Linked DNA regions of Ovis aries. The protein of the gene in region 1 interacts with the protein of each later gene in a biochemical or structural test. Links are inferred from orthologs where the notes say so. Each region holds a gene or a part of one and is shown in the gene's direction. Other genes may lie near its edges.

Evidence for each region.
Region 2: the proteins of RELA (region 1) and PIAS3 form a complex in vitro, tested with the Homo sapiens proteins (2 studies listed by BioGRID, with this or other methods). The link is inferred for Ovis aries from reciprocal best matches to the Homo sapiens genes RELA and PIAS3.
Region 3: of the proteins of RELA (region 1) and PRKCZ, one has a biochemical effect on the other in vitro, tested with the Homo sapiens proteins (2 studies listed by BioGRID). The link is inferred for Ovis aries from reciprocal best matches to the Homo sapiens genes RELA and PRKCZ.
Region 4: of the proteins of RELA (region 1) and PRKACA, one has a biochemical effect on the other in vitro, tested with the Homo sapiens proteins (4 studies listed by BioGRID and IntAct, with this or other methods). The link is inferred for Ovis aries from reciprocal best matches to the Homo sapiens genes RELA and PRKACA.
Region 5: the proteins of RELA (region 1) and PARP1 form a complex in vitro, tested with the Homo sapiens proteins (2 studies listed by BioGRID). The link is inferred for Ovis aries from reciprocal best matches to the Homo sapiens genes RELA and PARP1.
Region 6: the proteins of RELA (region 1) and CEBPB form a complex in vitro, tested with the Homo sapiens proteins (2 studies listed by BioGRID). The link is inferred for Ovis aries from reciprocal best matches to the Homo sapiens genes RELA and CEBPB.
Region 7: the proteins of RELA (region 1) and ING4 form a complex in vitro, tested with the Homo sapiens proteins (3 studies listed by BioGRID, with this or other methods). The link is inferred for Ovis aries from reciprocal best matches to the Homo sapiens genes RELA and ING4.

Annotation. Positions count from the first base shown.
Region 1 is NC_056074.1:40,279,507-40,283,471, reverse strand, and holds the start of RELA (transcription factor p65), read left to right. Parts: upstream 1-1,165; 5' UTR 1,166-1,249; coding exon 1,250-1,256; intron 1,257-1,837; coding exon 1,838-1,864; intron 1,865-1,964; coding exon 1,965-2,116; intron 2,117-2,259; coding exon 2,260-2,408; intron 2,409-3,300; coding exon 3,301-3,392; intron 3,393-3,760; coding exon 3,761-3,892; intron 3,893-3,965. UniProt on the Homo sapiens protein: NF-kappa-B is a pleiotropic transcription factor present in almost all cell types and is the endpoint of a series of signal transduction events that are initiated by a vast array of stimuli related to many biological processes such as inflammation, immunity, differentiation, cell growth, tumorigenesis and apoptosis.
Region 2 is NC_056054.1:99,195,480-99,199,443, reverse strand, and holds the start of PIAS3 (E3 SUMO-protein ligase PIAS3), read left to right. Parts: upstream 1-1,164; 5' UTR 1,165-1,262; coding exon 1,263-1,286; intron 1,287-3,149; exon of another isoform or gene 3,150-3,197; coding exon 3,198-3,615; intron 3,616-3,773; coding exon 3,774-3,858; intron 3,859-3,964. UniProt on the Homo sapiens protein: Functions as an E3-type small ubiquitin-like modifier (SUMO) ligase, stabilizing the interaction between UBE2I and the substrate, and as a SUMO-tethering factor.
Region 3 is NC_056065.1:50,004,311-50,007,810, reverse strand, and holds part of PRKCZ (protein kinase C zeta type), read left to right. Parts: intron 1-1,409; coding exon 1,410-1,531; intron 1,532-2,445; coding exon 2,446-2,535; intron 2,536-2,948; coding exon 2,949-2,999; intron 3,000-3,500. UniProt on the Homo sapiens protein: Calcium- and diacylglycerol-independent serine/threonine-protein kinase that functions in phosphatidylinositol 3-kinase (PI3K) pathway and mitogen-activated protein (MAP) kinase cascade, and is involved in NF-kappa-B activation, mitogenic signaling, cell proliferation, cell polarity, inflammatory response and maintenance of long-term potentiation (LTP).
Region 4 is NC_056058.1:9,921,510-9,925,009, forward strand, and holds part of PRKACA (cAMP-dependent protein kinase catalytic subunit alpha), read left to right. Parts: intron 1-1,615; coding exon 1,616-1,677; intron 1,678-2,125; coding exon 2,126-2,254; intron 2,255-3,500.
Region 5 is NC_056065.1:28,697,306-28,701,247, reverse strand, and holds the start of PARP1 (poly [ADP-ribose] polymerase 1), read left to right. Parts: upstream 1-1,142; 5' UTR 1,143-1,319; coding exon 1,320-1,439; intron 1,440-3,942. UniProt on the Homo sapiens protein: Poly-ADP-ribosyltransferase that mediates poly-ADP-ribosylation of proteins and plays a key role in DNA repair.
Region 6 is NC_056066.1:78,225,839-78,229,393, forward strand, and holds CEBPB (CCAAT/enhancer-binding protein beta), read left to right. Parts: upstream 1-1,143; 5' UTR 1,144-1,362; coding exon 1,363-2,415; 3' UTR 2,416-3,055; downstream 3,056-3,555. UniProt on the Homo sapiens protein: Important transcription factor regulating the expression of genes involved in immune and inflammatory responses. Also plays a significant role in adipogenesis, as well as in the gluconeogenic pathway, liver regeneration, and hematopoiesis.
Region 7 is NC_056056.1:209,609,795-209,613,802, forward strand, and holds the start of ING4 (inhibitor of growth protein 4), read left to right. Parts: upstream 1-1,208; 5' UTR 1,209-1,221; coding exon 1,222-1,258; intron 1,259-4,008.

The DNA of each region.
Region 1 (3,965 bases):
CTGGGAAAGCAAGTCAGAATTTCCAATCTTTTCCAATTCCCACACGATTCCCTAATTTAGAACGAACTTAGAGAAAATAAAAACCCTTCCTGCATCTGGGGAAGACTGCCGCCAGCCGTGGAGCATCCTCACTGTGGGATGAAAAATCCTCTCAGGGGCGGTGTGTGCTCCAGCCCGACCCCCAACCCGTTCGTACTTGCTTGTACGGGGTTAAACCTTGGGGGACGATACCCTCGGCGAGGAGTCACAGGACGGTTTATTAGTGGAAATTCTTTGGGAAACTTGGACCCCAGCAGGAAGCCATGGGAGGCAGGCGTGGGGAGGAGGGGCGGGTAAGGGAGTTCAAACGGAACAGAGGTGTCAGGTTGCAGAGACAAGCTCCAGAGATTTACCCCCGGGTGACTACCCCTCTCCACCCACTGGCCCCGAGGGTCGGCAGTGTGGAAGATCTTAAACCGACGAGCCTGCGGGTACTGCGCGAGCGGAAGCGGAGCGGAGCCTCTGATCACGCTGACGTGCAGCAGGCTCCGCGAAGGCCACGGTCCGAGTAGTGCCAGGTGGAGAGGTCCAGGCCACTTCTCTTTTTCCTCGTTGCATCCAGACTGGGGTGGACAGGAAATTAAAAAGTGCTTGTGCGGCAATAACCATCAAGAAGCACTCTTATTGACTAGGAAACCGTGAAGAGTTGAGCCACCTGGCCTTGGCGGGCGAAGCAGGCCGGAGCCTTTCCTGCGCGGGGCGGGCGGTCGAAGCCCGGCAGCCCTAGCTTGGCTCCAGACCGGCTCGGGGTGACATCACCAAACTCCTCCGATAGGCGGGAGGTGGCCCCCGAAATCCCCTAAAAACATAGTGAGTAATCGGAGGCCCCGCCCTCCAGGCGGGGCCCAGACTCGGGAGCGAGCCGAGCTGCCCCGCCAGCCCCGGGAGCGGCCTCCGGGAGAGCCGCCTGTCGGTGCCCCGCGCGGCGCGCACTAGCTCCGGGTCGCCGGCACAAGCAGCCTATCCACCCTGCACGCGGCCTGCCCATCCTCCGCGCAGCGCGCGTTCGCCCCTGAACCTCTCCCGGTGGCGGCGGCACCCGCAGCAGCGACGAGGGCGACGGAGACGCATCGCGCAGGCGCGGTCGGATTCCCGGCAGTGACGCGACGGCGGGCGCGCGCGGCGCATTTCCGCCTCTGGCGAATGGCTCGACAGTAGCGCGCGCCGCGGGCCCAGCTGCGACCCCGGCCCCGCCCCCGGGACCCCGGCCATGGACGGTGAGGGCGCCCCCTGACCCCGCGGGGTGGCGGCGCTGGGGCCGCGGGGATCGCGGCGGGAGGCCCCTCACCGCCTTCCGACCCTTCGTTCGCTGTTGGGCGCTGCGCAGGGAGCGGCCGGCCGGATGGTGGCGCGGGGCGGGGCGGGCATCGAGGGTTCTGACTCAGTTTCCCCCTGGGTGTGGGGTGTTGGGGGAAGCGTTAACTCAGTATCCCCCCGGGACCCGGGAGTGGGGCTTGGGCAGTTCCACCTTAGTTTCCTTGTTAGGGGAGAATGTATCTGACTCAGTTTCCTCTCGGGATGGGGGAGTGCCCTCCCTTAGTGTAACTTAAAACAGAAAAGGCCGTGACTCAGTTTCCCCTGGTGGAGGGAGGCGGCCATCTCTGGTTTCCCTCAGGAAAACGGTGCTTCTGGCTTCCTTACGCACACCCCAAGTTTCCCTGAAGGTTCCAGGTAGCAGGTCTGACTGAGTGTCCCCGAGAAGGAGCCTGGCTCCCTCTCCTCACCTCCGGGAAGCAGGCCTTCCCTGATGAGGACAGGATGTGGGCTCCTGCTGACCCTTGTCTCCCTCTCCTTTCAGACTTCTTCCCCATCATCTTCTCCGAAGGTAAGTGGCCCATCCTTTCTCAGTGGGTCGGGAGGAGCTCCCCAGGGTCAGGGGCGATGGGGTCAGTGGCTGATGGGCCTGGCCCGCGTGTCCCCTGCAGAGCCTGTGCAGGCCTCTGGCCCCTATGTGGAGATCATTGAGCAGCCCAAGCAGCGGGGCATGCGCTTCCGCTACAAGTGCGAGGGCCGCTCAGCCGGCAGCATCCCTGGCGAGAGGAGCACAGACACCACCAAGACCCACCCCACTATCAAGGTCAGCAGAGCCCCAGGGCGGGGGACCCAGAGTCAGTAGGGCTGGGACTTGCTTTCAGCCCCCACCCCCCCATCCCGAAATCTGTGTCTGGGAGTTGGGTCTGGAATTCCAGCCCTCTAGGGTGCTCTCTGTACTTTGGACAGATCAATGGCTACACGGGGCCAGGGACAGTCCGCATCTCCCTGGTCACCAAGGACCCTCCTCACCGGCCTCACCCTCACGAGCTAGTGGGGAAAGACTGCCGGGATGGCTTCTATGAGGCTGAGCTCTGCCCGGACCGCTGCATCCACAGGTGAGCTCCTTAGGGGTGGCAGGGGGTGGAAGAAGGTGGTGATGAGATGGGAATCGGAAAAGCAGGCAAGTTATATTGCTGTTACAATGTTAATCGTTTCTGGACAGAGGGCAGAATTCCTCACTGCTTGCTCCCTCTCCAGCTTTGCAAGCTGATTCTTTTGTTTTGAAATTGTCTGTGTGTCTCCTCTCTCCAGTGGATAGGAGGAGCACCCTGTGAGTTCTATGGCAAAGGTGTGGGTCCCTAATCACCCCTGAACCCCTAACCCCTGGGGCTGGAGTGTCACATCTCTTGTAGTCAGAATGAAAGCCATTGAACCAACGGTCTCCCCTGAAGCTTATGTACTGGTTGACAGAGGCAGACCATAAATAAATGTACAAATAACTGAACAAGATACTGTTAGAAATCACCATTTCAGTGATGAAAATGAAGCAGTAATAGGTTGGAAGAATAGCCTGAGGTGGCAGGGAGTGAAGGAGCTGGTCCCACTCCTTTGGGCTGGGACGTCAGAAAGGCTTCTCGAAAGTAAGACCTAAATGTGAGAAAGTAGAGAAGCAGGGAAGGAACATGCCCAGCAGAATGAACAGGTGCAAAAGGCTTTGAAATACGAATGAGTGTCATGTCTTTGGAGAGGGTAAAAGAAAGCCCTGGGGCAGAGGGTAGGGAGCTGGCAGGGACTGTGGCTGGGGCCAGGCGGCAGGGCACAGGGCCTTGTCAGCCAAAGTAAGGAGTCGCTTTCAGTGTGGCACAGTTGGGTGGGGTGGCATTTAAGGGGGTTAAGAATAGAATGATTACCTGGTGAGTGGGGGAGGGGATAAGGGGCAGAGTGGGTAAGGCAGGAGGGCCCAGGCTCTGCTGGAGACAGTGGAGCTTATGCCTCGGGGGGCCTCAGCTTTCAGAACCTGGGGATCCAGTGTGTAAAGAAGCGGGACTTGGAGCAGGCCATCAGCCAGCGCATCCAGACCAACAACAACCCCTTCCAAGGTGAGGGCGGCCACGGTGGAGGCTTGGGCCTGCCTGGAGCACCTCCAGCTGCTGTACCCTTCTGAGGCCACCTTCCCGTCACGTGTCCCTCACCGGCCAAGATGCGGTGCCCATTCATTACATACACCTGTTCAGTACATTCTACCATTGGAGAAACAGACTGAGAGCAGGGGTGTAGGGGACAGGACATTCAGGGTCACAGGTGGAGTCAGTGATGGGTCTAGAACATTCCCACCACCCTCTTCTAGGACTCCTGCTATTTCACACACCTTCCAACAGCCCTCCCAGCCCAGAGCTACCCGCACACCCTGCTCCGCCCCAGCCCCACCCCCAGCCCAGGCTCTCCTGACCATCGGTTTTTCTGACAGTTCCCATAGAAGAGCAGCGTGGGGACTACGACCTGAATGCCGTGCGGCTCTGCTTCCAGGTGACAGTGCGGGACCCGGCAGGCAGGCCCCTCCGCCTGGCGCCTGTCCTCTCTCATCCCATCTTTGACAACCGTGAGTGGTCAGGGAGCCGCATGAAGGGGAGGGGGGTGGGCCTGTGAGGAGGAAAGGAGAGGTGGGGAGGGGT
Region 2 (3,964 bases), on another chromosome or scaffold:
TCTCTGGTGACAGTCTGTGTATTTGAGGTAGGGAGTAGGGGACCACAGGTGGAAGTAGGGTTTAGGTACACTTCGGATTTTAGCAGTTCATGTTTTCTTTCCCGTAGGGAGAGACTCACTGTAAGTAGCTACCTCTTTAAGCGATCGGATTTCTGGTCCACACCGTCTTATTTGCAGCTTACTTCCACTCAAAACACATAGAAGGGTTTGCTTGCAGGGAGTCAGAACAGTAGTGAGAATGGTGAAATCAAAGAACGTCTCTCCCATCCACTCCCTAGAGGAGTTAATTTCTCCTCCGCAGGCTCAGAGTCCCGCCCTCTCCCGTCTCAGACTCCGCCCCTCCCCACTTCTCCGCTGTCCTGGCGGGCTCATCCAGGAGGGGGCGGCCCCAACCCTAGCGCTGGGCCGGGCCGAGCTCCCGCCCGGGCGGAGCTGCGGCTGCAACGTCCAGCTGCCGGACCGACCTCCAGCCGTGCAGACCTTGGGAGCAGCGCCGGGCCCCCTCCCCCCCATCTCCCCAGCCCACCCTCTGAGCGTCCCGAGTCCCCTCCCCGCTCCCTGCAACTGTGCTGGTAAGTCCCACTCTCGGCACGAAACTTTTTTGCTGGCGAATTTGAGCCCTGCCGCGGGACCATGAAATACAATGTAACCGGGGCGGGGGGAGGGGGTGAAGAATTGAGAATAGCCGTCTTGAAATAAACTATTTACGACTCCTTGGCGTCCCTAAAATGGATCAGGTCTCACCCATTTCCCGAGTTGGTGGAACTCTTGAATTTGGCTGGTTAAACTTGTAGATAGGGAAACGAGGGGGTTTGCTCCAACTTCGCTTCCCCCTCCCCCATTTCTCTGAGATTAAGCCCTTCTCGAGACTTTTCCCTCCATATCCCAAATATCTTTGGCTTTCTCAAAGCTCATCCCTTCCCGACTCCGGCGTGGCAAGGCCCCCCTCCCCCATGTACTTCGGGTTCACCTCCTCTCCCATGCCACCGGGGACCCCGCGATCCTTCGGGCGGCACACTCCCTCCGGGTCTACGGGTCTGGCACCGCGGCCAAAGACGTGCAGCGGCTGGGTCCGGCTGTGGAGGGAGGGGCTGAGGCCGGGGTTCGTCCGAAACCCGGCGGGCGGGGCCGGGAAGGGGAGGTGTAGGGGGCCGGACGGGGCGGAGCAGGCGGCATTTGCGGCCGGCGCCGGGGTGGAGAGTTGTGCGCCGGTCCCTGGGCCTGAGCTCCGGCTCGGGCTCGGGCGCCTGCGATGTCTCAAGATGGCGGAGCTGGGCGAATTAAAGGTACCGGCCCCCTCCCCCATCCCCATCTGGACTGAGCCGGGCTGTACGCCGAGTCTGGGAAGCGACCGAGACTGGGTGCTGAGGGCTCGGGTGGGGGCTGGAGACGTGGTGGGGACTGGCTGCTGGGGATGGAGAGAAGTGGCTGTGGCGAGGAAGGGGCTGCGTGGGGCTCCGGGGGCGGGGCCGCGGGGCAGATGTAGGGGTGGGGCCGAGGGGAATTGCAGCTGTTGGGGGCCGAGGCTCAGGGGGCGGGGACGCGGGGTAGAAGTCGAATTTGGTAGTAGGGGCAGATGTAGGGGTAGGGCGGGGAGGAAAAGCTGCTGTGGAGGCACAGCGGGCGAGTCGATCGAGGCCTAGAGAGGTGACAGTAGGGGGCAGGTGATGGGAATGGGGCTGGGGGGCCGATTACCGGGAGGCTCCTGGGGGAAAGGCGCTGAGAGGATAGTGACTTTGGGGCTGCTGTTGGGATCTGAGCCTTGGGAAGTACCAGTAGGTGGCTGAGATCTAGGGGGCGGGGCTGTACGGGGATAGATCGAAGGGGTGGGGCAGAAGCATCCTGGAGGCTGAGAGGAAGGTCCTGCCTTAGTGAGTCGGTATCTCTGGGCAGAGAGAGAGAAGTGTTAGACTATGGGATTGAAAAGAATTTCTTGACAAAGCTAATGGAGAAATAAAGACAGGACCGAGGAGATAAGGATGAGGGTAAAGGTAGAGGAGCAAGTTTTTAATTATATTCCTCAAAAGGGGCCCAAAGCCATAATGCCTCCATAAGAATTGCAGATGATTAGCAAGATTGGCCCGTGGCAGGGTCTCCTGGAGATTCACAGAAGTGAGTTCTTTAAGCGGAGAGCTTACCACTACCAGAATCTTGAGGATAAATAACCATCTTGCAGAACCTTTAAAAACCATGGGGTTCACCCCCTTGCTCCTGGCTTTATTCTGCCTTTTGAAATGGAACCAGAGTCATGGGAAGGCCTGAGGTCTAGTCACTGGTTCCAGTTTCCTAGGAGAGCATGCAGTTCTGCAGTCTGGCTCAGGGGCTGATCACCTCCCTATTCTTCCAGGGGCTCTCTTTAGAGCTTTCCCCTCGTTTCTTCCACCCCTGTGGAGGAAGGGAAGAATCACTTACTTTCTCTGGGTAGGAGAGAAGCAGGTTATTAGTTCCTGGCAGATGGAGTAAACAGGTAAACAGGAAGGATACCTGGACTCCACAATTCACTGTTAACCCCTCACCCCAAGTTTTACTCCTGTTTCTCTCCCAGAAAAAATAGGACTGAGGGATGAGTAGTTATGTAAATAACACCAAGGAAAGGTTTGGGAAGTTATAAGCATTGAACCCTGACCTGGCCACAAAAGCTTGGGGAAAATAGCTGAGGTAGATTGAGGGGTGGAAAGGAGTTGATTTTGAGGCACAGTCCTCCAGCCACCTGGCCCCTTTCTTCTCTGTGGGGCTGTCTGGCCTGAATCCTCTTCTCCCCTTCCTCCCCGTCTCCTGTCCCCTTCCCAGGAGGCTAGGATGGGTCTGAGAGTCTGCGAAAGAGCAGGAGAGGAGATAAGCAGCTTAAAGGAGAGTCCAGGCTCAAGGCAGGGTGGTGGGAGGAGGCTGTAGTGGACTCAGAGGTGTGCTGTAGGGTGGCAGGCACCCTGCGCCCACATGGTCAGCTGATAAGATGGGGAGACAGGATTGTTCAAGCCTGGGGGGGTAGTGGAGAGGTGACCTGAGGGTTGCTAGGATGGGAGCTAGATGTCCTTTTGGCTAGGTGGGCAGTTTGGCAGCAATCCACTGGCTGCAAAGCATCTTTCAGATCAGTGCTGGAGGGAAAGCACATTCCCCACCTAATAGCTCAGCCCTGGTGTCTTTGGCAGGACAGGCCTGTGCAAGGTAGGATCCTCAAGCTTCTCTGATCTCCACAGCACATGGTGATGAGTTTCCGGGTGTCTGAGCTCCAGGTGCTCCTCGGCTTTGCTGGCCGGAACAAGAGCGGACGGAAGCACGAGCTGCTGGCCAAGGCCCTACACCTCCTCAAGTCCAGCTGTGCCCCCAGCGTCCAGATGAAGATCAAAGAGCTTTACCGCCGACGCTTTCCCCGCAAGACCCTGGGGCCCTCTGATCTTTCTCTGCTCTCCTTGCCCCCTGGAACCCCTCCTGTAGGCTCTCCTGGTCCTCTGGCTCCCATTCCCCCGGCCCTCTTGGCCCCTGGCACCCTGCTGGGCCCCAAGCGTGAAGTGGACATGCACCCTCCTCTGCCCCAGCCTGTGCACCCTGACGTTACCATGAAACCATTGCCCTTCTATGAAATCTACGGGGAGCTCATCCGGCCCACCACCCTAGGTATGGCTCTTTGTGGTCCCTGGGTCTTCCTGGCCTCCCTGCTTCTTCCTCAAGCCTTTCTTAGGCTTTGTCCTGTGGGCTCAGCAAACTGGAATAGGGGCCACTTCTGTGGCCCCCTGGGCACGGGCTTGGGAATAACTGCCCCTTTGTGTCCTCAGCATCCACTTCTAGCCAGCGGTTTGAGGAAGCGCACTTCACCTTTGCCCTCACCCCCCAGCAAGTGCAGCAGATTCTTACTTCCAGGTTTGTCTCTTTGAGTCCTCCTGCCTCATCCTTGGGTGGTTACCCTGAGACTCCGCTCTCTGACTTTCTTCTTTTCTTTTTTGCCCTCCTTCTCACCATTCTCCTG
Region 3 (3,500 bases), on another chromosome or scaffold:
TCTAGGCCCTGAAGCGCTGGGCAGGGGGACTAGCTGCCACCTGGGGGTGGAACTGTGAGTGAGGGTCGTGGGGCAGGGATAGATAGTTTGCCACCCCGGGATAGATGGGTGGCAAACTCAGTTCCAGAGCTCCCATGGCAGGGGGACTGATGGGTATGCCGGGTGGCACAGGTACGAGGTCTGGGAGATGTGGTGGGTGTGGGAGGGCTTGGTCTCTGGGGGCCCCACTGATGAGCCGTGAGACCCCTCTATGCCTCAGTCTCCCCATTTGCCAAGATGCCACAGGTTGTGGTGAGCTTTGGGCCCTGGGGTGGGCACTGAGGGTCTGAGCAGATGGGGTAGGTTCTAACTGTGCCCCCCACCCCCTCGGGAGTGAGCCATGGGCTGGACACGAGCTGCCATGGGCACCCAGCAGATGGATCCTGGATCCTGGTGGCCCTGGGTCTGTTACCTGGTGGACCGAGATGCTCTGTCAACACGTGTTTGATGGAATTCAGAAGCCATTGGTGTTAATGCTCAGTGGACCCTGTGTTTCTCTTGTTGGGGGTGTTTCAAAACTTTTTTCAGAGGATCCCACCCTTGTGGTGTCAGATGTGGGTAAACTTCCCTCTAACTTCAGTTTATCCTGTGTGATTCCTGTTCAGAGTCTCAGCAGATGTACGTTTACTCATGTCAACACCAGCCCTGCTTTGGGTGGTAGGTGATGTGGGACAGTGCATGGAGGGGGGTTGGATACCTCTCCCTCCCTGTCCTGAGGAGTTGAGTGTTCCCTGGTGCTGACTTGCCTTACCTCTAAGGGCCATTCTCAAAGACTGACCATGAATCCCTGGGCTGTCTTCAGTCTTATATCCCAAGTGTGGATGAAAAGATAAAAGGCAGTGGCATTCTGTGCCTTGGTTTTCCCAACAAACTGGGTCTGGAATTATGTTGTGGCCCTACCAAAGGCAGTTGTCGAATGGTGCCTCCAGGGTTTCAAGAGGCTGTGGCATTGGGGTAATAAGTTAGTCCCCCTCCCCATACCTTCCACCACTTCCCACCTCTCAAAAGTCCCACACCCTGGATACCATGTGGCCCTGTTGGCACCATTGAGGTAGTGGGACGATGTAATGAGGCCTATGGGCTTGAACTGAACAGTCTGTGTCCAGCTGCGCCCACCCCTCCTGGGTGACTGCCCCTTACCCTGTCCTTCTGCCCCTCAGAGGCACGTTCAGGTGCCAGGATGGGTGTTTCTGCACCAGGGCATTCATGGTGTAATTCACATGGCCTGTGGGCAGTGGTTCTGGGGTGCGGGGGGAGCTGTCATACCCTTGGGGACAACACAGCTTCCTGTATTTGATCAACAACTTGGTTAGTTGATCATGTGACTTAAATGTGCCCCCTGGTGAGACCTGTGTGTCCTCTCTGCCCAGGGACCTCCTCATCACCAGCCTGGACTCCGCCACCACCTTCGATGAGCTCTGCGCAGAGGTGCGGGAGATGTGCCGGCTGCACCCGGGCCACCCGCTCACCCTTAAGTGGGTGGACAATGAAGGTGGGCCTGGGGGGTGTGGTGGTCGGGCAGTGGCTCTCTAAACCTGGGCGCGACCCCTTCCCTGGGGAGGTGGACAGCTCTGGGATTAAGCTGATTCAAATTAACTAGCTTCCTGTTTCTGGGGAAGAGGCTGTGGCAGGTCATGGAGGCACTAGGGGGCGGGGGTGAGGGTCCCTTGAGGGGGGTGGTTCCCCTCAAGGCCAGCTCTGGTGCTGGGTCCTGGGGAGAGGCTGCAGGAGTCCCCCCGCCCATCTTGTGTGAGTCCTGACCTTCCTGACTCCCTTCCTCATGTTCTGGATTTTTCTGGTGGGTGATTTGCTAGCTGAACTGTGGTTTCTCAGGGAAGTGGGGAGGGGAGGGTGGCCAGCGCCCTAGGGTCCACCTCTCTTTTCCTTTCCCTCCCTCCTTTCCTGTAGCCAGACACACGTCTGAGATAGTGGAGGGTTTGGAAAACAGTTCAGAAGAGCCTTCCCAGCAGCTCTCAGCCTGGACATGGGAGTGGGGGAGGGCAGGGGCAGGCAGACCTCTGGCCATTCCCCTTCCTGCTGAAGCCAGGCCACGATGTCCTGGCTCTGGCTGTCCAAGCATCTGTGCTCCTGTCCAGCCTCAGTAGACAAGGAGCCCTTCCTTCCGGTCTAGGACTGGATAGGAAGGGTGCTCATTCTCTCCCGGGCCAGGAAACCTGCCCAGCTTGGCACCCCATGTGGAGCTGTGGGTGAATTCATTGCCATTCTGGGGCTTGTTGGTTCTGACCTGGGCCTTTGGGTTGGGGGAGTGACTCACTCTGGCACTGGCCAACTCTGCCCTGAGTGGCCGGTCACCAGCAGCAACGCGCTCCCAGTTGGGCGCCCACCATCATGAACCCCCCTGCCTTGGGCCTGCAGTGGCCTCAGCTGTGTCCCTCGTCTGCCTAGGTGACCCCTGCACTGTGTCCTCCCAGATGGAGCTGGAGGAGGCCTTCCGCCTGTCCTGTCAGCACAAGGACGAAGGGCTCACCCTTCACGGTCAGTGCCAGCCGGTGGGCGCTCTCTGGGTGGGGGTGGGCACTTGGGTGCTTTGTTAGACCAGAAGCCACACAGGTCATGGTTTAAGATATTAGGATGCAAAGGATTTAAGAATGTGGAATAGGAAGCAATTTGGTTTCATTTTTTGCTCTTAGCTCTTATTATCCCGGATAAAAACCGCTCTTACTTGTCAGAAGTCAGTGAGGTGTCCTCTCACTGGCCACGGAAGCCTAGGTTCTGGTGGTCGGCCCTCATTGCCCGTCCATGTGCAGGGTTTCCAAGGTTTTGCCTTAATAATCATCTGGCAAGAGCAGGCCATGGGGATCGTGGGCAGTCAAACTCAGCGCAGGGCTCCTTGCGAAGCCACGGTGGTCACTGACCTTCACTCTTTCTCTGGCTCTCTCTGCATGCAGTTTTCCCCAGCATCCCCAAGGAGCCAGGCATGCCCTGTCCTGGAGAAGACAGTGAGTACCGTCCTCCTGCGACGCATGTCCTGGTTGTGGGTTGACGTGTCTGTTATGCCAGGGAGGGGAGGATGGGAGCCGGGTGCCCTGGGGCTTAGTGCTCCTCGTGAAGTGTGTGAGGGCAGAGTGGGCAGCTGGTGTGGCCTCACAAGGGGTTCTTACTGGTGCCCCTGCCCTTGGCTGAGTATGATCAGGCACCAGTGCCACCACTGGACAGGGCGTCGGCTTGGCCAGCGGTGCCATGAGGAGACATCCCGGAAACACCCTGACCTCCCCAGGCAGGCAGGACCCTGGCTGGGACGGCTGGATGTGGCTCCTGTGTGTCTGTCCTGACTCATACTGGCCCCATTCTCCTTTGTGGAGGGTCTGTGGGTTGAAGGTGAGGTCCCAGGGGCAGTGGGTCAGAGAAAAGCTTCTGACCACACCCCAGAGGCCCCTGACCCTGGGCAGTTTGGTCCACCTTGTCCTTCAGGGCAGCCTCTACTGACTGGAGCACAGAGA
Region 4 (3,500 bases), on another chromosome or scaffold:
AATGACAGGCAAAACCAAAGTGCAAGTGTACAGGACCCTCTCAGGGTGGCGCCCGTCCCAGGGACATCAGGGTTGAGGATAGCTCTGTCCATGGGCCACCCTGGTGCCCTGTGACCCGTCAGAAACAAAGCACTTAATCTCGTGGGTGTGAGAGACTGTCTGGAAAGTGATCAGAAGCCAGTCTTCTCATCTGTCCAATGAGAGTAATAGCAGCTCTGAGCCATCAGTGTAGGAATTAACCGTGGAAAGCATTGAGTGTGTCACAGAGCTGACACACAGAGAGGGTCCCTGAACAGCAGCACAGCTGGCCCCAGGTGGGCCATTGCAAGGACAGGTCCATACCGCAAGAGTCCGTCAGGCCGTGCATTCAAGATCTGAGCATTCAGTGCTCTACCTGTATTTTATACCTCTGTTTTAAAATATACTTGAACCTCCCTGAAGACTCCACACTTCCACTGCAGGTAGGGGGCGCAGGTCCCATCCTTCATCAGGGGAGTTCTGCCTGCCATGCCGTGAGGCCCCAAAAACTTAAAAAATACTTCACAGCAAAATTAATAGCTGACATTTACATAGCTCTAACACCCTGTGCCAGCCACCATCCAAACCCCCTTTGCCAAGATTAACTCCTTCAGTCCCCACAACTACCCTACTGGGTCATTACTATTATTATCCCCAGTTTACAGATGAGGAAAGCTGAGGCCCAGAGGTCAGTTGCCTAAGGTCACACAGCTCTTCAGGGACCAGGCCAGGAGCTAAACTTGATCGTATCCCAGAGTCCTGGCCCCTACCTACTTTGCTGGGGTGGTGCTCCACACTGGTGGGAATGCCTGTTTTCAGGCTTCAGTTGGGGGGGGCTGGTGGTGAGTAGGGAAAACAGATAAAAGAAATCTGGGTAGGGGGGAGGGCGGGGGCAGGCAAGTGAAACAAAGAGGGAGTGGACACAAAGTAACAAGCCCAGGGTCTGCAGGGAAATCTTCAGTGCTAGCTGGACCGTGGTATTCACCTGGGGCTGCTGAGGGGCCTGCAGGGGGCAGGCATCAGGCGAGGCTTTCTTTGAAGCGGCTCAGGAGCCAGGGGCCCTCCATTGGCAAAGGCAGGAATGGAGCCAGCTGGGGGCCAAGGCAACAGCTGAACCCCCAAGGGCGCCTGCTACCCGAGCCCCAGAGGCCTCCACCCGGGCCAGCCTCCCCAGAGAAGGGACCAGAGGAGCCGCCAAATCCAGAGGCTATAAATACCTCGGCTGGCGTCGTCCCTGGCCCTGGAATGTCGGTCAGAACTGGGGCGAGTGGGGGTGGGGTGGCCCAGGCACTGTTCTCTGTCCCCCAACGAGTGACCCCCCAAGTCGCCCTGTCCCCCATTGTGGACAGAGTTGAGACTGGACCCCACCTCTCTGTAGTAAAGGGGACCCACGCCCCAGCCCAGATCAGGTGCCCCCACCCACCCAGGGTTACCCTCAGACTCAGCCGGGAGACCCGAAGGCGCAGGGAGAAGGTCAGGCTCTAGGTTAAGGTGACTGCACCCCACTTTCCACAAATCGGCATCTCCCCAGGAATAGCCTGGGCCCACGCCAGCAACATGGGGTCTTCACCTCACTGTCTTCCTGTCTTTCTTTCAGTGAAAGAGTTCTTAGCCAAAGCCAAAGAAGATTTTCTTAAAAAATGGGAAAATCCTGCTCAGGTAAGCCCCCTCGGTACAGAGTCCCGGGAGGGGTGACTGATGGCCCCCTCACCCCCAACCACATCCAAGTGACATGGCTAGGATTTTTGGGCACTGTAGAGCCGCCTCACCTGCCCTCATTCAACCCATCGATGCTCATGGGGGCGCCTGATCACACACTGCCAGGCTCCTCCACCCCACTACCCTCTTCCAATGGGTGGCCCCTGCCCCTCCAGGCAGCTGCCAGAAGCTCCTGGGCCCCTGGCCAGGGCTGGATCCAGACCCTGCCACCAGCCTTGAGGAATGCGCCCTCTGCCATCTTGTTTTTCCGCCGCCGTCCTTACCAGCTTCGTTCCACCTGGTGCCCACGGCCCCCTCTGCTGGTGGCAGAGGGGACGCCCCAAACTTGGGCTGCGCAGGCTGCAGGGGTTGGGGTGGTCCCTGACCCTCCAGAGCCCTCTGCCCACAGAACACAGCCCACTTGGATCAGTTTGAACGAATTAAGACCCTGGGCACGGGCTCCTTCGGGCGGGTGATGCTGGTGAAGCACACGGAGACCGGGAACCACTACGCCATGAAGATCCTCGACAAACAGAAGGTGAGTCTGGCCCTGCGACACGGCCCAGGTCCCGGCTACCAGGGCTCTGACCGGGCAGTGGTCACCGCCTGGAGCACCTCCATAACGTGCCAGACCCAGGGGCAAGAAGGATACCATGCTGCCTTCAGGAAGCTTCCTCTCCCGGGGAGCCACCAGTGCCAATCCCAGCATGGATGCAGCATCAGACACCTAGCCTGTCTCAAGAAAGCCAAGCATTTTCCAGCGTGAGAGGAGTGATGTCTATGCAGACCTCCTTTCTGTAAATATTTTTGCCAGGCAAAATGCTCTAGAGCAGCAATGTCCAGGAAAAATATCACATATGGTTTTACATTTTCTAGACTCCTCATTTTATTTTTATTTATTTGGCCAAATGGCTTGTGGGATTTTAGTTCCCTGACTAGGGATGGAACCCGGACCCTCAGCCATAAGAGCATGGAGTCCTAACCACTGGACCACTAGGGAGTTCCCTAGAACCCTCATTTTAAGAGCTTTAAAAAAAATACAAGTGGAATTCATTTTAACAATGTGTTGTAATTAAGTCAGTATATCTCCAATATTATCATATGAACACATGCATCCAGTGTAAAAATATCATTAATGAGACACTTTACATTCTTTTTTTCCGTACTAAGTCTTAGAAATCCAGAATGTACTTTACACTTAGAACACATCTTCGTTTGGATGTTCATTTTCACTGGAAAGAAAAGAAAAAGACAAGTTGAAAAGGCAGATTCGCACAGCCCAAGTTGTTCCAAACAGGCTTGAAAGTTGCATTGAGTATCAGTTTTTTAATTTTCATTGTAAATACGCTGAGTTTTATTGTTTAAAGCATCTTTGGGGGGCTGTGCTGAGTCTTTGTTGCTGCTCAGGCTTTTCTCTAGTTGTCGCAAGCAGGGGCTGCTCTCCAGTTGGGGTGCACAGGCTTCTCATCGCAGGGGCTTCTCTTGTTGTGGAGCACAGGCTCAGTAGTTGTGGCACGTGAGCTTAGTTGCTCTGAGGCGGGTGAGATCTTCCCGGATCAGGGATCAAACCCACATCTCCTACACTGGCAGGCATATTCTTTACCACTGAGCCACCAAGGAAGCCCCAAGATACTTTCCATTTTAAACTCGATCCGTCAGTCAACCAGCCATGTTTCAAGTACTCAGCAGCCATACGTGGCTAGTGTGGACTGCCCTGGACAGTGCAGGTGTAGACCCAGAGGATGTCGTTGTGAACAAAGCAGAGGAAGCCCCATTGCAGTGGG
Region 5 (3,942 bases), on another chromosome or scaffold:
CCCAGGGACGGGGGAGCCTGGTGGGCTGCTGTCTGTGGGGTCGCACAGAGTCGGACACGACTGAAGTGACTTAGTAGGGTGGGAGGTCTTTCAGTGACTGAAATTTAAGCACTGATGTGCTTAATACTGAGTTCTCCCTGTTGACTAAAAAAAGATGTACAACTTGAGAGTTGTGAGTTAAGTTTTATTTGGGGAAAAATGGGGACTGCAGCCTGGGAGGCAGGATCTCAGATATCTCTGAGAGACTGCTCCAAAGCAGCAGTGGGGGGAAAAAGTCAATATATAAGATTTTGGTGAAGGGGGAGTTCACTGCGATGAAACACTCATTTTACAAAAGGTTTTTGTTAGTCATGAGGATCTGATGTCACCATAAAGGGATTTAGTGCTTCTCTAGATGTGAGGAGATGCAAGGACTGAGATCATAAAATCTGTTCCTAAACACATCCAACTATCTAAAGACCTGTCCCATCAGATTCCCTGGAGCACAGAGTGCCTCACTCCACCCTGAACTCCCTCAGGGTTGTTGAAGGTCAACAGCTTTAGCAGCATGGGGTTCAATCTCTGTAGAGGCAGACGGCAAATGCCTTTGTTGTCATTGGCAATGCTCTTGGTAAGTGCCAATTTGTACCCAGCAACTGTAAAGTGACATGAAAGTGCTGTGATAACGATTGATGAGACTCCCGAAATTTGTATCCATGCATTAAAATTCAGATGAAGGCGATGCTAGACTTCAGTTAGTATTCGGTCCCAGTGGTCCGCGGACTGTAGTCAAGCCCAGGCGAGGGCCTGCCCAGGTCCTTCGGCTGCCAAAGGACTTTCCCCAGCCAGTCCAGATCTGGCCGCCCTCAGGGGAGAGGGGACACATGCATTAAGAAGCGACAAGGGTGGAATCAGCTGTGAGGACACTTAAGCCTTCCTGGGGACAAACAGTTAAAGGAGACAAATGGTGAAAGGACTGGCACCCCGTCCTTCCCAGAGCTGCAGGCGAGGGGTCTGCCCCGCCTCTTGCCTCCAGCATCCCGGAGGATGGTCGCGCAGCCGCGGGCGCCGGGGAACTACCGCCCCCACCCGCGGCCGGTAGGGGGCGAGCGCGCGCCGGCGGCCCCGCCCCTGCGCACGGGCGCCGGGGCGTGCCAGCCGCCAGGCATCAGCAATCTATCCGGAGCGGCGGGTGGCCTGCGCGGCGTGTTCGGAGGCGGTGGCGGCGGTTCAAGGCGCCTGGCCGCCTGCGGGTAGCGGATCGGTGGGTGAGGTGGCAGTAGCAGCAGCGGGTCTCCAGATCGCGGCGTCGGGCTCCCGGAGCTGTAAGCGGCAGGAGAATGGCGGAGTCTTCAGACAAGCTCTATCGGGTCGAGTACGCCAAGAGCGGGCGCGCGTCTTGCAAGAAATGCAAAGAGAGCATCCCCAAGGACTCGATCCGGATGGCCTTCATGGTGCAGGTGCGGGCGGAGGGGGCGCTTTGTGCGCGGCCGGGCCTTCGCGCGTCCGAGGAGGGTGGGGGGAGGGCCGGCCCGGAGCCGTGGGCCTGGCCGACCGCTCCCAGCCAGCGCGGGGCCTGCGGGCACAGCTGCTATCGCGGGACAAGCCCGCCGGGTGGACCCTTCTTCCGTCAGGTTTTGCTGATCTTGCAGGAAAAGCCCGGGAAATACGGTCTGAAGCCGGTGGGGCCTTTTACTTTGTGAAAATAGGGAGCCGCTTCTAGCCTTAGTTCTGGGTTTATTACCATACGCTTCGGGAAGGAAACTGACTCGTGGTTTTTTGAAGCTAGTCTGGTTTTGACCTACCTTGTTTTTTGAAGCTAAGTCTGGTTTTGACCTACCTTGTCCTACATTGACGGTGGCGACTGGCAAGTGACGATTTGGATTTTTTTTTTTAATCGGTTTTTGGCTATCATTTCAACACCCACTCACTCTTTTTTTTTTAATTAATTATGCAAAACTATGTAAGTCGATGTCATTTCAGTACAGTGCGTTCACTTTTGTCTTACGTTATGGTTTAACATTTTCCCCCAAACTTTCCCAGTTCACAGAACGTCGTCTCTGTAGCTATCCGGTTTGAGTAAGAGTGGTTCCTAGTGATTCTCATCTGGGCTTATTAATAGATTCAAGATTCCCTCCAGTGGTCCCTGAGGCTTCCGAGCAGGCCAGGAGGGGTGTTGGAGTGAGGTGGTGTGTCTGAAGACCCCTCCCAGGCAGAGAGATTCCTGCCACTTCCAGCTTCCCAAAGCTCCCGTCTGTTTGTGTAATTCTAGTTCCCACCCTTCCTGTCCTCCCCACCCTAAGGTAAAGCTGTTGTCCAAGCTTAGTGCTCATGGTCAAGATAGCTTGATTTTCCCTCCACCGGTGAGGCAGTAGGTATTTTAGGAATGACTAGGTGGTATTGCTGCATTCGCAGTAGTTAGGTGGTGTAGGGGAATGGGTATCAGTGTGTACTTGGGCTATCTCATTTCATAATATTGTTACCAAATCCCAGCTCAATCTGCTTACTGCCCGACAGGCTAATTGAAGCAAGGAATACTAACTTTATTATTTGGGAAGTCAACTGACTGAGAAAATGGCAGACTGTTGTCTTAAAATCAGCTGTCTTGTTGGGGTCTGGATGCCAGCTTCTTTTATAGGACACAAAGGGGAAGGAGGTGAGAAAGGAAAGATCATGTTCTTGCAAATCTCTCCTGAAATGGCCAACCATAGGGAGGGGAAAGAAAGAAACTGAAGTTGCTTGGTCGTGTCCAACTCTGCAACCCCATGGACTGTAGCCTGCTGGGCTCCTCCATCCATGGGATTTTCCAGGGGTTGCCATTTCCTTCTCCAGGGGGTCTTCCTGACCCAGGGATCGAACCCAGGTCCCCGGCACTGCAGGCAGATTCTTTACCATCTGAGCCACCAGGGAAGCCCTTAGAGAGGGGATGTATGTGTTAATCACTTAAGGCAGAGGGGCAGGGTGCCCGGAGGCAGGTTATTATATATGATTATAATAACGAGCAATGAAAAATAAAGGTTAAAGTCCAATAAACAGATCCTGATCCATCTGGGAGTTCTCAGGTGGCACTAGTGGTAAAGAACCTGTCTGCCAATGCAGGAGACCTGAGAGATGCAGGTTTGATCCCTGGGTCAGGAAGATCCCCTGAAGAAGGAAACGGGAACCCACTCCAGTATTCTTGCCTGGGAAATTACATGGACAGAGGAACCTGACAGGCTCCAACAATATGACAGGGGTTGGCATCGTCATCTTAGTATCATTCTCAGGACCACCTAGCTCACTACCCAACACTTATCGCTTAGTAAACACTCACTGAATACCGGTTAGGTTCTAGGCGTTAAGTACCAGGGGCACAAGGACAGACTCCATTTCTGGGAGCTCCCAATTTGGTTAAAGGGGTGATGACTGGTAAACATTGCTGTGCTGGGGTGGGTGCCACCTGATGGAGCTGTGCCCATGGCATGGTGGGTGCCAAATTGGAGCTCACCACAGAAGTGGCAGAAAGTTGAGGATGGAGGAGTAGACGAGGCCTCCTGTTTGAGAAGCCTTATCTCCCCCAGAGCGTCTTTTCATTTCATCCTAACGTTTGGGTGGCTGGCTGATCTCGTGAACTCCCCATTAATACAGGGGCTCTTAACCTGGAGTCTGTGGGATGGCACATAGAATTCAAGAGGTCCATGAGTTTCAATGAGAAAAGATTCCTGTCTTCCCTGGACTTCGGTTACAATTCATTACTTTCTACAGTTACGAATGGAAGCCCCAAAGCAAAGGCACATTAACAGTAACTGCAGTTTTTGTCATCAGTAGTAGTTATTTTCATATCATTTACAGTTGTTGGGGATTTTTTTAAATAATCATTTATACTCATCTCAACAAGATCGTGGGCTTCCCTGGTGGCTCAGATGGTAAAGAATCCACCTGCAGTGCAGGAAACCTGGGTTCGATCCCTGGGTTGGGAAGATC
Region 6 (3,555 bases), on another chromosome or scaffold:
CCTGCCTGGACCCCCACCCACCAGCCTCAGATACAGGTGCTTTGGGAGGGGGATGACGAACAGCTCTGAGGGTGCCTGGATAAGGGCTTTTCTTTTGAGAACAGTGGGGAACATGAAGCTGTGTGATCTTGGGTGTGCTGTGGGCCTCTGGGCCTCTTTGTACTGGGAAGAGGCCCTTCTTTCTGATGTGTGTCCCAGAGCGGTGAGCGTTTGGGAGTCTGCGTTGGAGACAGTTAATACAACTAATAAAGATAACAGTAAGGACACCCTCGCAGACTTAAACTTGGAGAAGCCAAGTGACTAGTCCAAGGTCACACAGCGTGTGGTCGGGGGGCACCCCACCCCCGTTCCACCCTCCGGGGAGGGGGCCCCAGGTCAGGGCGGGGTGGGGCTGGAGAAGACCCAGGTGTGGTCCGAGGGGGAGGGAGCAGGCAGGTGCGGGGGGCGGGGCCGGGGGAGGGGCGCTCGCCCCCTTGTTTGCACCTCCCCAAGCCCCCAACCCCAGGTCTTCCTATTTCAGAAGGGGAGTCACCGCAGGTGTGAGTCCCTCCTGTCCAGATCTGGGGAGGGGTGCCAGTTTAGCGGCGAGGCCGCACTCGGGGGAGGGCTGTGGAGGCGGCTCACCCCTCCGGGAGTCCGAGCTGGAGGGGGTTGGGGTCTCCAGCATCCCTGGCTGGGGGGAGAGGGGCGCGCCCCCTCCCTGGAGAGCCAGGTCCGGCGGCCGCGGCTCCCGAAGGCCAGCGCCTCCTCCAGCAGGGGGCGGGCGGCGGCCGCGTTCAGGGTGGGAGCAGACGGCCGCCCGGCCCCCTCCCCGGGTTCCCCCTCCCTTCTCGTCCGCCGGCCGGCCCAGAGGGGGCGGTCCGGGGGCGGGCTCGCGCCTCTCCGCGCTCGCCATCTCGGGGCCGCCGGGTGGGAGTGGACAGGGCGGGGGCCCGAGGCCGCCCCCCACCCCGGCCCCGCAGGCCGGGGGACCCCCGGGGGCGCGCTCCGGGTCTCCAGGCCGGCCCGCCGGCGCCCGGCCGGGGGTCCCGGGCGGCCGCGGCGTGTCCTCTGCGTGCCCGGGGAGGGAGGGGCCGCCGCCGGGCGTGACGCAGCCGTTGCTATGGCCCGCCTTTATAAATAAACGGGCTCGGGAGAAACTTTAGCGAGTCAGAGCCGCGCACGGGACCGGGAAGGGGACCCACCCGAGGGTCCGGCCGGCAGCCCCCCGCACTGATAGCGGCCACCCCGGAGCAGCGGCGGCGGCAGCAGCAGCAGCAGCGGCGGCGACACAGCAGCGACTGTTCGGAGCCGGGAGGCCGCGCCACCTGCGGGCCGGCCGGCGCGGGCAGCCCCAGGCCCCCTCCCCGGGCACCCGCGTTCATGCAACGCCTGGTGGCCTGGGACCCAGCATGTCTCCCCCTGCCGCCGCCGCCGCCCGCCTTTAAATCCATGGAAGTGGCCAACTTCTACTACGAGGCGGACTGCTTGGCTGCTGCGTACGGCGGCAAGGCGGCCCCCGCGGCGCCCCCGGCGGCCAGACCCGGGCCGCGCCCCCCCGCCGGCGAGCTGGGTAGCATCGGAGAGCACGAGCGCGCCATCGACTTCAGCCCCTACCTGGAGCCGCTGGGCGCGCCGCAGGCCCCGGCACCCACCACGGCCACGGACACCTTCGAGGCGGCTCCGCCCGCGCCCGCCCCCGCGCCCGCCTCCTCCGGGCAGCACCACGACTTCCTCTCCGACCTCTTCTCCGACGACTACGGGGGCAAGAACTGCAAGAAGGCGGCCGAGTACGGCTACGTGAGCCTGGGCCGCCTGGGGGCCGCCAAGGGCGCGCTGCACCCGGGCTGCTTCGCACCCCTGCACCCGCCACCGCCGCCGCCGCCGCCGCCGCCGCCGGCGGAGCTCAAGGCGGAGCCGGGCTTCGAGCCCGCGGACTGCAAGCGGAAGGAGGAGGCCGGAGCTCCGGGCGGCGGCGCCGCGGGCATGGCGGCCGGCTTCCCGTACGCGCTGCGCGCCTACCTCGGCTACCAGGCGGTGCCGAGCGGCAGCAGCGGGAGCCTGTCCACGTCCTCGTCGTCCAGCCCGCCCGGCACGCCGAGCCCCGCCGACGCCAAGGCACCCCCGGCCGCCGCCGCCTGCTACGCGGGGGCGGCGCCGGCGCCCTCGCAGGTCAAGAGCAAGGCCAAGAAGACGGTGGACAAGCACAGCGACGAGTACAAGATCCGGCGGGAGCGCAACAACATCGCGGTGCGCAAAAGCCGCGACAAGGCCAAGATGCGCAACCTGGAGACGCAGCACAAGGTCCTGGAGCTCACGGCCGAGAACGAGCGGCTCCAGAAGAAGGTGGAGCAGCTGTCGCGCGAGCTCAGCACCCTGCGGAACTTGTTCAAGCAGCTGCCCGAGCCCCTGCTCGCCTCCTCCGGCCACTGCTAGCGCGGCCCCCGTGCGCGTCCCCCGCGGCCGGCCGGCCGGCCCCCGCGCTGCCGGGCGCGCCGCGGCCGCCGAGACTCCGGGGAGCGCCCGCGCGCCCGCCCGCGCCCCTGGCGGCGCCGGCAGAACTTTGGCACTGGGGCACTGGGCAGCGCGGGGAGCGCGTCGGTAATTTTAATATTTTATTATATATATCTATCTATATTTTTGTCCACACCAGCCGCACGTGCAGACGGGGCGCCCGCCCGTGGTGTTATTTAAAGAAGAGATGTCTATGTGTACAGATGAATGATAAACTCTTGCCTCTCATTCTGCCCACCCCCCCTCTCTGGGCGCCGGCGGGCGGGCCGGTTTCGAAGTTGATGCAATCGGTTTAAACATGGCTGAACGCGTGTGTACACGGGACTGACGCAACCCACGTGTAACTGTCAGCCGGGCCCTGAGTAATCGCTTAAAGATGTTCCTACGGGGTTGTTGCTGTTGATGTTGTTTTTTGTTTTTGTTGGTGTTTTTTTTTTTTTGGCCTTTTTTTTTTGTATTATAAAAAAAAATCTATTTCTATGAAAAAAGAGGCATCTGTATATTTGGGAATCTTTTCCGTTTCGAGCATTAAGAACACTTTTAATAAACTTTTTTTTTTTTTTGAGAATGTTTAAAAAGCCTTTTGGGGGCAGTAGTTGGCTTTGATTTTTTTTTCTTCCCCTTTATTTTGGATTTATATTTGCCTTTCTGGTGTGTGGGGGGTTGTTGTTGTGTGTGTGTGTGTGAGTGAGAGCTGCTGTTATTTTTGGCATTTTAGGTGGTTGGGTGGGGGTGTTGCAGCTGCTTATTCTCCTCTGCTACTCCCCCCCTCAACCCCACCCCCAGGGCCTGTGCTTGGAGATGGGGGTATCAGGCCTGGCGCGGGGGAGGGGCAGAGGAGTGCTGGGTCAGGCTTTGAGGGTGACTCAGTGCGGCTGAGTGCTGGGGAGGAGTGACTAGGAGCCCTGCTTGGGGAGGGCCTGCAGGGCCTCTGGCTGGTCCTGAGTCCGGGGCTTGGGTTTGGAGGGGCTTTGCGGGTTCTGATCTCTGCACAGCGCGTGGGGACCCAGCCCATGGGACTGTGACTCTGAAAAAGAAGGGGTACAGGTCTTGGTCCTACTG
Region 7 (4,008 bases), on another chromosome or scaffold:
ACCACATGTGACCAGGTAGGTGGTGTCTGTTTCCTGAATATTTACTGCTTTTTCCCGTTGGTCTCACTAACTTGAGTTGACACTATCAGCCCTACCTTCATCACAGGTATTACAATCAGATTTTACGCTCTTGAAGGATATACTCACACTGATAGTAACAACCCCATATGGTCATTTTGTAGAGAAGGACCTGGGTGTGGAGATTAAATGATCCAGGGCCTGCTGCTTGTGAGGTAGGACATCATCCAGATTCTGTGGCCAGATGGTACCACCGGCTCAGTAGTATATCGGGTTTCACTGTGCCCTTTTTTAAACATTTTATGTGGCTGAAAATGTCATAAAAACCTGCCATGTGACATTGATAATTAAGAATGTGTGGCTTAGGGGTGACAATGATCTCCAACATTCTTCCATTCTGGTCGCTGACATCTGCGTCCCTAGTGTGGTGGCCTGCCTGCATTTGGTGGCTTTCTATCTTGCTGAGACGTGTATTTGTCATTGTGCTTGTCGTGGGTCAGGGTGATAGCTGGCATCCATCTGGCCCAGTTGTGACAGCTCTGTGCCAGTTAACATCATACATAAACGAGTAAAAATGGAGACGAACACGGGAGGACAAGGCCAGCAGTACTCTTGTCACTTTGCAAGCGGGAACGTCCTGGAGTGGCAGAAACCCTTACAAAAGGTGAGGAGAATCGCAGCTTTATTGTGAGGAGTGCTTTGTACCTATAAGCAGCGTTTATAAATAATGATCTGTTTCCACATCAAAACATAATCCTGGAGAGTTGGCGTTCGAGTGAGTGAACAGAAACGGGGAGGATTTACACCTCGCACCGTAACTGGAGAAGGCACCTGCCCTGGTCGCGAGCTTCACATTTTCCGGCTGCTGAAAACAGTTCTTTGTGGACTAAAAGCCCAAAAAGACAGGTCTCTTCGCCCGCACGTCCCTCTCCTGGAGGGAACGGAAGTTTGAGGACGCAAAATGGCGCCCTCAGCCAACGCCGCCGCCGGCCCCGCGCTCGACCGCCCCGCCAGGGACGAGTGTCTTCGCCGGCAAGAGGCGATTCGACGGGTGCTGTACTCAGACCGGAAATTAACCTCGTGAGGGCGGAAGTTACCCTTGAGGGCGGAAGGGCTCCAGGAGGGGGGTGGAGGACCGCTTCGGCGCCCGTTGCGTTCAGTCACTTCCGGGGCGGAGCGGAAGTTGCTTTGTTTTGCTTCAAGATGGCTGCGGGGATGTATTTGGAACATTATCTGGACAGTAAGAGCAGGCTGGAGGAGCGGGTCAGGGGTCACAGAAGGGTGGGGGTGGGGGTTCGGGCTGAGGAGCTTTATGGCCCTGAAGACCCGATGGTCAGAAAGTCACAATCGTGAAGGGTTGCGTGAGAGAAAATACTGGAGTGTGTGAAGAAATAGGGGGCGGGGCAGCGGGGTCGAGGCCTCGCTCTGAGGCGTAGAAGAGGGAGGGGTTGCGCGGCTGGGCTGGGGGACGGCTCTTGAAATGCTGGTCGGCATAGCCGGGAAGATATTTGCTGCCCCTGTCTTCAGGGTCTCCGGCCTCAGGATAATCTTTTTCTTAAAGTCGTTCTGAATCGGTTATTTTAGTATATCATCCACTGCCATTGGAGCAGCGACAAAGATCTGCTCGCGATTCTCCGCCCAGTTCTTTCGAAGATGCATCTTCTCATGGGGATAGGGGGTTACGAGTGACCACTGTCAGATGAAGGACTGGAAGGTTTCTCCTCTTGGAGTAAAGACCCAATTCCCATCAGATGGAAATTTGGTGTTCTGTTTATGCCATTTGTGTGGCCCCCTTCACAGAGCCTGTCACCCTATTCTCTTTGCCTTAGCGTTGGGAGTCATTCATTCGTTTATTGAGGTCCTGCTGTGGGTCAGACATAATGGCAGGTACTGGGGGTATACAAGAATGAATACCACACGGACCTTCTCCTGAAGGTGCTCATAGACTAGTAGGACACAGATTCTAATAAATAATTATAAAATTGTGGCAAATAACAGAAATACATTAAACAGACAGTTGGTAACACTGGAGAAAGAGAGACTAGTTTACCTGGAGGTGTAGGTAAAGCTTTACAGAGAATGTACCGAATCTTGAAGGTTGAGTGTTTATTTGCCGGTGTAGAGAGGGAGAGGGGATTGAAGGTTGGGGGAAGCATCAGCAAAGGTGTTCTGATGGGTTTGTGGCAAGATCAGGGAAAGATGAGACCAGAGTGTTTAATGTATAGGACTCTGAGGTAAAAGATTGGAAAATGACACTGGAGAATGTAGCTGAGGCTGGGTTGTGCCTGGTCTTTAAAGCCAGGCTAAGAAGCTTGCACTCTAAATAGTGAGGAACCAACGGATTTTCTAAATGGAGTGATTTTTTTTTTTTTTAATAAAGGAAAGTAATTGATGTCTGGTAAATTGGAGCATGATGACCCTGGTAATACAAGATTAATTAGTAATAACAGTTCTGGTCAGAGATGAGGCCCTGATCTCAACAGAGTATTTAGGAGGTAAATATAACCGAATTGACTGACTGAGTGGTTGAGAGAGGAGGAGGAATCTAAGGTGACTTCTTGATTTCCTGTTTGGGAAGTGAGGTAGACATATATCATCAAGAAGATAGGAAATTCAGAAGTCTGTAAGAGTAAATGAGATGGAGATCATTCAGAGAAAGTATGAGAAAATAATAGGATTAACTTAAGTGTAAGCTCAAGAAAATAGTAACGTTTAAGGGACAGGCTAAGGGAATGTCAGTGATGAAATTACTTGAAAGTGTGTGAGGAGATTTAGAATCTTAATAGAAAGTTACACATAGGCAAGAAGATGGTGAGAATACTGCAAACATTTTTTTTAGGATGGAACTAGTAATTAGATTATTTGATTTGGTAACTCATTGGTGACTTAATCTTAGTAAACTGATGGTGGACCCGAGTCTATAGGTTAAAGCATTGGATGCATTTTAAAAGTTTCAAAGTGGAGTCATGGAAAGAGAATTTTTTTTATGAGAGAAATGCAAGTATTCATGCCTTTATATTCAATTATTTATTGAGGATCCTCTGTATGCATGTCATAGTTCTGAACACTAGGGAAATAGGAGAGAAGAAGACAGACATATCTAACACTTCTGGAGAGCTGGGGAGACATACCATATAACTAATTATATAATTACTTATTTAATTACATTGGATAAGTGCCCCCAGAGTATCTGCCCTGCCAAAGGGCAGCCATAGAATAGCATGACAGCATAACCCAGGGCACTTGGAGTCAGGGGCAGTCAGGGTTGAGCTGAACTTTGAAGAATGAACAGAAGTTCAGTAGGCCAAGAGGGATGGTGGAAGTGGGGTGAAAGAGACGGGGCAGGGCGTCCTGGGCAGAGAGAGCAGTGTGCGGAAAGCCAAGTGTCTGGAAGAGCACCGGAAAGTTCAAGGCACTCAAAGAAGGCCAGTGTGACAGAGCGGAGCGCGCACAGACGGGGACTGACCTGAGTTAGGTCTGGTGTGCAGCACGGGCCAGAAAGTGCAGAGTAGGACTTGGGAATATTGCAGTGGAAGTGACTGGAGGTTTATAAACGGGAGAGTGACTTGATCCGATTTGCATTTAAAAAAAAAACATTCTGGCTACTGTTTGGAGAGCAGATTGGAAGTGTGTGTGTGATCAGTGGAGGGTACCAAGAGGGTATTTGTAAGTTGAGGGCAAAAAGATCTTTTTGTAAAAAAAAAAAAGTACTTATTTGGCTGTGCCAGGCCTTAGTTGCAGCATGTGGGATCTTTCATTGCAGCATGTGGGATCTAGTTCTCTGAGCAGGGATTGAACCCGAGCCCCCCTGCATTAGGAGCATGAAGTCTTAGCCACTGTACCACCAGGGAACTCCCAAGGGCATGGAGAGGGAAGGGCTGATTTGTAAAGTTACTGAAGAGGGGAGGGTGGGAAAGCTGTGCAGAGATGGGGAGCTCGCTGTGGAGACCGGTGGACATGGCTCCTCCTGAGAAAGCAATGATGAGTGCT